2 linked regions of the Xenopus tropicalis genome follow. The protein of the gene in region 1 purifies or fractionates together with the protein of each later gene. This does not show direct contact. Links are inferred from orthologs where the notes say so. Each region holds a gene or a part of one and is shown on either strand. Other genes may lie near its edges.

Region 1 (4,325 bases):
ATGTATTATCATCTGATAATATACTAATGAACACAATACTGCAGCCTATTGCTGTTGTGTTAGTGTTGTAATAGTATATACCCTCTCTCTTGTACCATTTCCTCCTTCGGTGTTGTTCGCTATTGTTGACATTATTCTGGATGTGTATAATTACTGTTGGGTAGGGCCACCTGAGATTTAATGTGGGTGTTTCTATGCTGCCCTGTACAACCCTCCTATTATACAAGATGGCTGCTGCATTTATACACGTTACAAGATGCTATCAGTCTCCAATATTATAGTCTTTTACCCTTTTACCCTTATTTACAGTGTGGGCATGGCAAAAGCACAATTTGTTTGCGACATTGAACATGTAACATATAATGTGCAGAACATGCAGGGTACATGACATTAATAAAGCATTTAGCTGTGAATAAGAAAGCAGTAAGAAACATACCTTTTTAATGGCCACAATTCTATCTGTATTCTTGTCTCTTGCTTTATAAACTGTGGCAAACTGAGAAACAGAACATTTCAGAACAATATGAGTGGGAAACAGTTTCCTGTCAGTTCCTATATACACCTCTCTACTCTGTCACAGCAGAGCCAACACTGACGGGACTGCCTGAGCAGCTTTTACTGTCACTGCCATTTATGAAACCTGCCAGAGTTTAAGGGAAGATAAAACCCAAACATAACAATTGTGCCAAAAAAGTACAAGTACAGCACTATGTAATGCCAGACTAAAAGCACTATGTAATGTCAGGATACTACAGGTACAGCACTATGTAATGCCAGACTAAAAGCACTATGTAATGCCAGGACACTACAGGTACAGCACTATGTAATGCCAGGATACTACAGGTACAGCACTATGTAATGCCAGGATACTACAGGTACAGCACTATGTAATGTCAGGACACTACAGGTACAGCACTATGTAATGCCAGGACACTACAGGTACAGCACTATGTAATGCCAGGACACTACAGGTACAGCACTATGTAATGCCAGGATACTACAGGTACAGCACTATGTAATGCCAGGATACTACAGGTACAGCACTATGTAATGCAAGGATACTACAGGTACAGCACTATGTAACCCCAGGATACTACAGGTACAGCACTATGTAATGCCAGGATACTACAGCTACAGCACTATGTAATGCCAGGATACTACAGGTACAGCACTATGTAATGCCAGGATACTACAGGTACAGCACTATGTAATGCCAGGATACTACAGGTACAGCACTATGTAATGCCAGGACACTACAGGTACAGCACTATGTAATGCCAGGATACTACAGCTACAGCACTATGTAATGCCAGGATACTACACCTACAGCACTATGTAATGCCAGGATACTACAGCTACAGCACTATGTAATGCCAGGATACTACAGGTACAGCACTATGTAATGCCAGGGTACTACAGGTACAGCACTATGTAATGCCAGGATACTACAGGTACAGCACTATGTAATGCCAGGATACTACAGGTACAGCACTATGTAATGCCAGGATACTACAGGTACAGCACTATGTAATGCCAGGATACTACAGGTACAGCACTATGTAATGCCAGGATACTACAGGTACAGCACTATGTAACCCCAGGATACTACAGGTACAGCACTATGTAATGCCAGGATACTACAGCTACAGCACTATGTAATGCCAGGATACTACAGGTACAGCACTATGTAATGCCAGGATACTACAGCTACAGCACTATGTAATGCCAGGATACTACAGGTACAGCACTATGTAATGCCAGGATACTACAGCTACAGCACTATGTAATGCCAGGATACTACAGCTACAGCACTATGTAATGCCAGGATACTACAGGTACAGCACTATGTAATGCCAGGATACTACAGGTACAGCACTATGTAATGCCAGGATACTACAGCTACAGCACTATGTAATGCCAGGATACTACAGGTACAGCACTATGTAATGCCAGGATACTACAGGTACAGCACTATGTAATGCCAGGATACTACAGGTACAGCACTATGTCATGCCAGGATACTACAGGTACAGCACTATGTAATGCCAGGATACTACAGCTACAGCACTATGTAATGCCAGGATACTACAGGTACAGCACTATGTAACCCCAGGATACTACAGGTACAGCACTATGTAATGCCAGGATACTACAGGTACAGCACTATGTAATGCCAGGATACTACAGGTACAGCACTATGTAATGCCAGGATACTACAGCTACAGCACTATGTAATGCCAGGATACTACAGGTACAGCACTATGTAATGCCAGGATACTACAGGTACAGCACTATGTAATGCCAGGATACTACAGGTACAGCACTATGTAATGCCAGGATACTACAGGTACAGCACTATGTAATGCCAGGACACTACAGGTACAGCACTATGTAATGCCAGGATACTACAGCTACAGCACTATGTAATGCCAGGATACTACAGGTACAGCACTATGTAATGCCAGGATACTACAGGTACAGCACTATGTAATGCCAGGATACTACAGGTACAGCACTATGTAATGCCAGGATACTACAGGTACAGCACTATGTAATGCCAGGATAAAAGCCGTAAAGCAGTATCCAATTACACGACATTACATACAGTGCCACTAAGCATCTCTGCGCAGTAGTAAAGCCCCACGTGTCCCACAGGGACCCGGAACCCCACGCAGCAGCACCCACCTGGCCTTCCCCCAGGAACTCCAGCTTCTCATACTGCTTGGAACGGGAGCGCACATCCACCCCTCTCGCCATTATCCCCTCCATTCTCCGCGCAACCCTTTCCCACAGGTCACTGTCACATCGCCATTTAACACTTTGGCCACGCCCACTGCATGCTGCTACCGGCGCGACGGGAGCGCGAATGTGACGTAAGAGGCATCTGGTTTCCTACAACTACCGGTTGCTATGGAGATCCCTGCTACAGGGGAGAGGCGGGAATTGTATGGTGTCAGTGGCAAATACCGGTTGTTCCTCAGAAGAATTCCTTCTCTCGAGGGTAACGGTTTATTCTGTACTAATGAGCCGCCCCTGGCTGGGACGCAGCCCCCCGCCCTTAGGCGCTGTAGCCAAGCAACACTGTATGTTCTTAGCCCTTTCTCCTTTGGTCCCGGCGCTAAAATCAAGTTGGAAAGGTGAATGCTGTGAGCACGCCATAAGGGCACTTCTCGGATAATACTGAGTGCTAAAACTCTCCCGCAATAAATAATGGAGACATGAAATGCTTTGCCAGGAGCTCATTCTGTGAGGTGCCCATTGTGCAGCCAAGTTACAGCCCCTGAATAGAAAAGCCTCAGCCACATTTTGGGATATATAATATGCTAAGGCCAGAAACAAAAGCTTTATAAGACATGACATGAGGGAGATAATGATTCCACTCCAGGCCTTTTGAGACCTTAATTCAAATGATCATCTAGGGGCATATTTATTATGCTGTGTAAAAAACAGCGAGAAAATTCACCACACTTCGCTGTGTAAAACAGGCGGGAAAAAACGGCGTCATTTTTTACGCGTTTTTTTTTTTTCACCAGAACTTATGGAAAATAACGGCGTAATATCTGGCGTTCAGACGGCGATCTTTTCCATTTATTTTACACAGGTTTTTACTCAGCGAGTTAGTTTTACACATAATAAATACGTCCCTTAGTGTGAAACTGAATTTGGTCCAAAAAAACAGGACTGGATCATTATCTCCAGAGCTGACAATTTTTTTTATTCCGCATCTAGGGGGCTTTGCGGCGTGCATAGAGCACCACACAATAATTGACTGTAGTGTGTGTGTGATATGGACCTTTAGAGTGTAAGCTCCACTGGGGCAGCGACTCATTTTTTCAATAGCCACTTAATCTTCTCTATGTTTTGAAGTGCAGGAAGGAAACTGGAGAACAGAGAATTCTCTGTTAGTGATGCCGGATATGTATACATTATGAATAAAGGATAATGATATATATATATGACTTAGTAAAATATATAGTTATTTGTAATTATATGATAAAATAAATCTAATGAAATAATTTGCTCCTGTTGTGTTCCACATTATAATTAACTTAGAGTTGGCGCTTCTCACAAATTTACAAGTACTCTATATGCATTAAAATCACAGATCACTTTATTTTCTCAGGTAACAGGTGTATAGATACAAAGACAGTTACGTTCTACATAGAGCAGTTATATTAAAATGATGTGGGTCTTTCTACTCTCCCAAACATTTAAAATACACCTTATATACAATGAGATTCCACACCTTAATTTAAATACCGCATAGTATAGATACAGGGTACATCTAAATTAGGATTTCCCAGGAATATAAAAATCCTTCATAT
Region 2 (3,823 bases), on another chromosome or scaffold:
CAACATTTCTAGCCGGCTTCTTTAACTAAAGCTTTAGTTTTCCATTAAAACAAATAAGGATGTTTCAGATTTCAATATGTTATTTACCTAGATCTTCCCTTGTTTCAAACTTTGAACTCATTGCCACTTGATCATTCCCACGGCCCACGACCTGCAGCATACAGTAAACAACTGCAAGTAAGCCTTCACTATTTACCTCTTATGTATAAAAGATATCATATGCAATATATAACCTTTTCTTACCATAGGACAAAGACAAACACGGGCCAAGGTCATTGTGAATGTTGCCATAGTAACAGGGCGAAAATCCAAAATTTTGGGGTAGATATCCAAAGGAGAGAGGGTCTGGTTGTGTAAAAGTCACATTTTTAAAAAAGAATAGATTACACAGGATTAGAAGAAAAATTTGAAAAATAAAAAAGTAAAAAAAAAAAAAATTCTTACCCCAGACGTGATGATGACAGACTGAAATCTCTGGAATACAGGTTTAATTGCAAGGGAAGAATCTAGACAGCTAAATTAATGATAAAAACAAGAACGGCTAGAGTATACAGTCTTTGTAAGAGAGAAAGCTGAAAAAAAATGAAGGAAAATTGGCTTTGAAAAGGTGGACAGTGGGCACCAAGAGAAACATTGACCAGACTACAGGAGCACTAGAAGTAGGGAAAAAAGAAAGATTGTGTTGGAAAGATCAAAGAAAAAAAAATACTGCGCACCGAATCTGTATTTTGAAAAAAGTTGTATGAATGTGTGTGTGGAAAGAGGAATTAGAGGCAGAAAATCATTCCTACGAGCCAAAAAAAAAGATATTAAGCCAAAAATTGGCAAAAAGTAAGAAATTGGAAAGAATAGCACTGATGGGCATTTCAAGGAGAAAAATATTTAGTAACCTGAAGTGCAGCACAGGATTACTTATAGATGGTGTTCTGTCCTCGAATGGTTCAATAATTATCATAAAACCTGTAAGAAAACAGAGACATGGTTCACAAGGGAAATAAAATGGTTTGTAGGAAGAGAGGTGATGGGAAGGGCAAGCAAGAATACACAGAATCCAACTGTGAGGAAAATACCTTTAGTATATGTGCTGACAAGGGTAGCAAAGTTGGTTATGAGGGTAAGAGGAGAGAGGTCTGTAATGTCAGCTATCTCAAGAGTGCGTGTGAGGGAACGCAACCGTTCTGCACAGAACCTAAAAGGCAAAAGATTTAATATCTGTAAGGGAAAAATTCCCATTTTTTTTTTAATTTTAGTAGATTAGTTTATTATAAATTAACCTATTTCAAGCAACATTTAAACTTGTCTTAGTTAATTTTATGGTTTTTGAATTATTCATTCATCATTCATTCATTCAATGAGTAATTTTAATATTATGTCTGTTTTCATTATTATTTCTATTTCTAACTGTCAGGGATCATGGACGCCAGCAACAAAAACAAAAAACCCATAGTTTAGTTTTATTGTAATTCTTATCTTATTGCATATCATTATTTTCAGGCTCTTTAATAATCATCTCTATCAAATACATAAAAATCAAACATTTTGCAAACCTCTGACTGGTTGTTAGAGTACTGAAAAAAATGGAACAGTCAGATTACAGTTGACAGAGTTTAAAAAAAATACTACAGTACTCGGGTTAAGGTGAACTATCCCTTTTAAGTATTTCTCAATTTGTACAGGAGGTCACTATAAAGAAATGTTACTAGAAGAACAATTTTTGTACTTACCATTAAATCCCTTTCTCTTCACTTACTATGGGGGGCATAGGTACCTTGAGGATAAAAATCCTTCCACACCATCTAAGTGTTTGCCCCAATGTTGCTCTGGGAGTGTTAACCAGTGCAGACCCCTGGAGAGTGGAAACTAGAGATCCCAGTCATTTGGGAGATTATTTTTAGGCCTTAGTGGCATGACCTATAACCATAGTCCTGACTATTTTATTCCTGAGCCACCATGTGTCCTTTCTCCTTTTGAGCACATTAAGAGAAACTAAGGATTAAGGGAGGTAGCAGGGGCAAAGCTCTTAAGAAGTCAATTTTAACCTTTCCGTGTGTACTCTCCTGTATCTTTAGCCCCATAGTGCCTGTGTCCCCCAATCTAAGCAACAAAGGTCATTAGTAAGCCAAAGAAAATAAACAGCCATGTGACTCAGAACATCAGATAATTACAAAGCCCTCTGGAGCTTGAACTTCAGCTGGAGATAACCAGCTGCAAAATGCAGTTTCAATTATTTTCTCAACTAATACAACAGTAACAGAAAGCCCAGCAAATTTCTGTTGTGAAATCTTTCTTAGGCTATGTATAACAAAATATTATATGTGAAAGTTTTGCATCAATTTAAATAAGATATTTCTGAACACATTAGTAATACTTACTAGGCATTATCTTTGTAATCAACAACTCAACCCTTACCGCATTGGCTTCCTTTCGATGCAGACTTTCTCATAAAGGTCACGAAGAAAGGCAGCAGGGCCCTCTTGTGTTACATGGCCTGCACGTAGACGTGATTTGATGTAGCCCACTAATCGTCGTAAAAAACCCAGGAAGTGGAGAGCATTACGGATGCAGCCTGGCACAGCCTCTGCATACAACACGAAAGTCAGTCCTTAGTCATTTCAGTAGCGAAGGAAAAACAGTTTTGGCTGTTCAATAAAGTATTTATACAAAATGTATAACTAATCAACAAACAGCTTAATGTCCAGTGAACAAGGCTGTTGAAAAGGTTTGAACTAAGTTGGGGAGTAACAGGTGCAGCCTCCTGAAGAGCATGATAGGCTTAATGTTTACAGAAAAAAACTAAATTAACAGCACAACTTCTCTTACCTTGCAGAATTTCATCAGGTAAGACAGGGTTGGACAGGTACACATCAGTCTCCCTTGCAACACTGGCCTCCCGCAATCCCTCCACCAGTTGAGCGTACTCCTCCTTCAGCTTCTTTTCATCTGTTTCTTTTATTCTATGAAAACAACAAAAATAAAGCTAAAGAATAACAGTTCTCCCTTACCTTTTCTCTCAATATTCACCTATTACCGGCTCTCCTTCGCATCCACTTTTTTTCATTAATTTTCTGAATGTACCCTTCACATTTATCTCCCATTATTTAACCAGTTTTACTTCTATTAAAACAGTTTTTTTATTATGCAAGAATTTATTTTCTTCTGTCCTCCACAAAACATCCCTTACTTTTCTATTGCCGTGTTGAGAGTTTCAATGTTTGTCTGACAGCGCTCCAGGGTTCTGCGTGTGATGGTGACACTCATAGAGTCAATGCAGACATTATCTAAAGAGTAAGAGGGCAGATTAATTTTGCAGGCGTGTGAAATAGACAGGTAAGTTCAGTTTTATCACTTACCAATATTATGAGCTTCATCAAAGACAACAACAGATTTCTTGGAAAGTTCACGAGAGACAAGGTCAGCTATTTTGGGATCCAGTAAGTAGTGATAGCTGTACACAACCACATTGCACTGTCCGAGCTGCAAAAATACACAACATAATTTAAAACACAAACATTTATTCAGATATACTAGTCAATTATATCTTCTACAAGTTAGGACTGCATGAGAAATATTCAGACACTCACAGCATGTCGGGCAAGGTAATAAGGACACCAGCCTTTTTGTCTACCCAAAGTCCTAAGGTCATCCAGATTGTAGATACCAGGAGGAAGGGGGGTCTCACGTCCAATTGCATCAAATTCCTTAAAAAAAAAAAAAAAAACAGGGTTAGTAGCAGAGTAATCACTTGATTTTCCAAAATAAGCCTTTCTGCCCCATCTTTATTTTGCTAAACATGATGTATGCTCACCTGGGGAAGGCAGATAGC

Evidence for each region.
Region 2: the proteins of cdk7 (region 1) and ercc2 purify together in Homo sapiens (affinity purification with mass spectrometry; 10 studies listed by BioGRID and IntAct, counting the BioPlex papers as one, with this or other methods). This does not show direct contact. The link is inferred for Xenopus tropicalis from reciprocal best matches to the Homo sapiens genes CDK7 and ERCC2.

Annotation. Positions count from the first base shown.
Region 1 is NC_030677.2:186,233,485-186,237,809, forward strand, and holds the start of cdk7 (cyclin-dependent kinase 7), read right to left. Parts: upstream 2,817-4,325; 5' UTR 2,770-2,816; coding exon 2,686-2,769; intron 497-2,685; coding exon 437-496; intron 1-436. UniProt on the Homo sapiens protein: Serine/threonine kinase involved in cell cycle control and in RNA polymerase II-mediated RNA transcription. Cyclin-dependent kinases (CDKs) are activated by the binding to a cyclin and mediate the progression through the cell cycle.
Region 2 is NC_030684.2:70,779,227-70,783,049, reverse strand, and holds part of ercc2 (TFIIH basal transcription factor complex helicase XPD subunit), read right to left. Parts: intron 3,699-3,823; coding exon 3,582-3,698; intron 3,475-3,581; coding exon 3,351-3,474; intron 3,279-3,350; coding exon 3,182-3,278; intron 2,955-3,181; coding exon 2,821-2,954; intron 2,579-2,820; coding exon 2,410-2,578; intron 1,190-2,409; coding exon 1,071-1,189; intron 961-1,070; coding exon 891-960; intron 515-890; coding exon 445-514; intron 346-444; coding exon 244-345; intron 152-243; coding exon 88-151; intron 1-87. UniProt on the Homo sapiens protein: ATP-dependent 5'-3' DNA helicase. Component of the general transcription and DNA repair factor IIH (TFIIH) core complex, not absolutely essential for minimal transcription in vitro.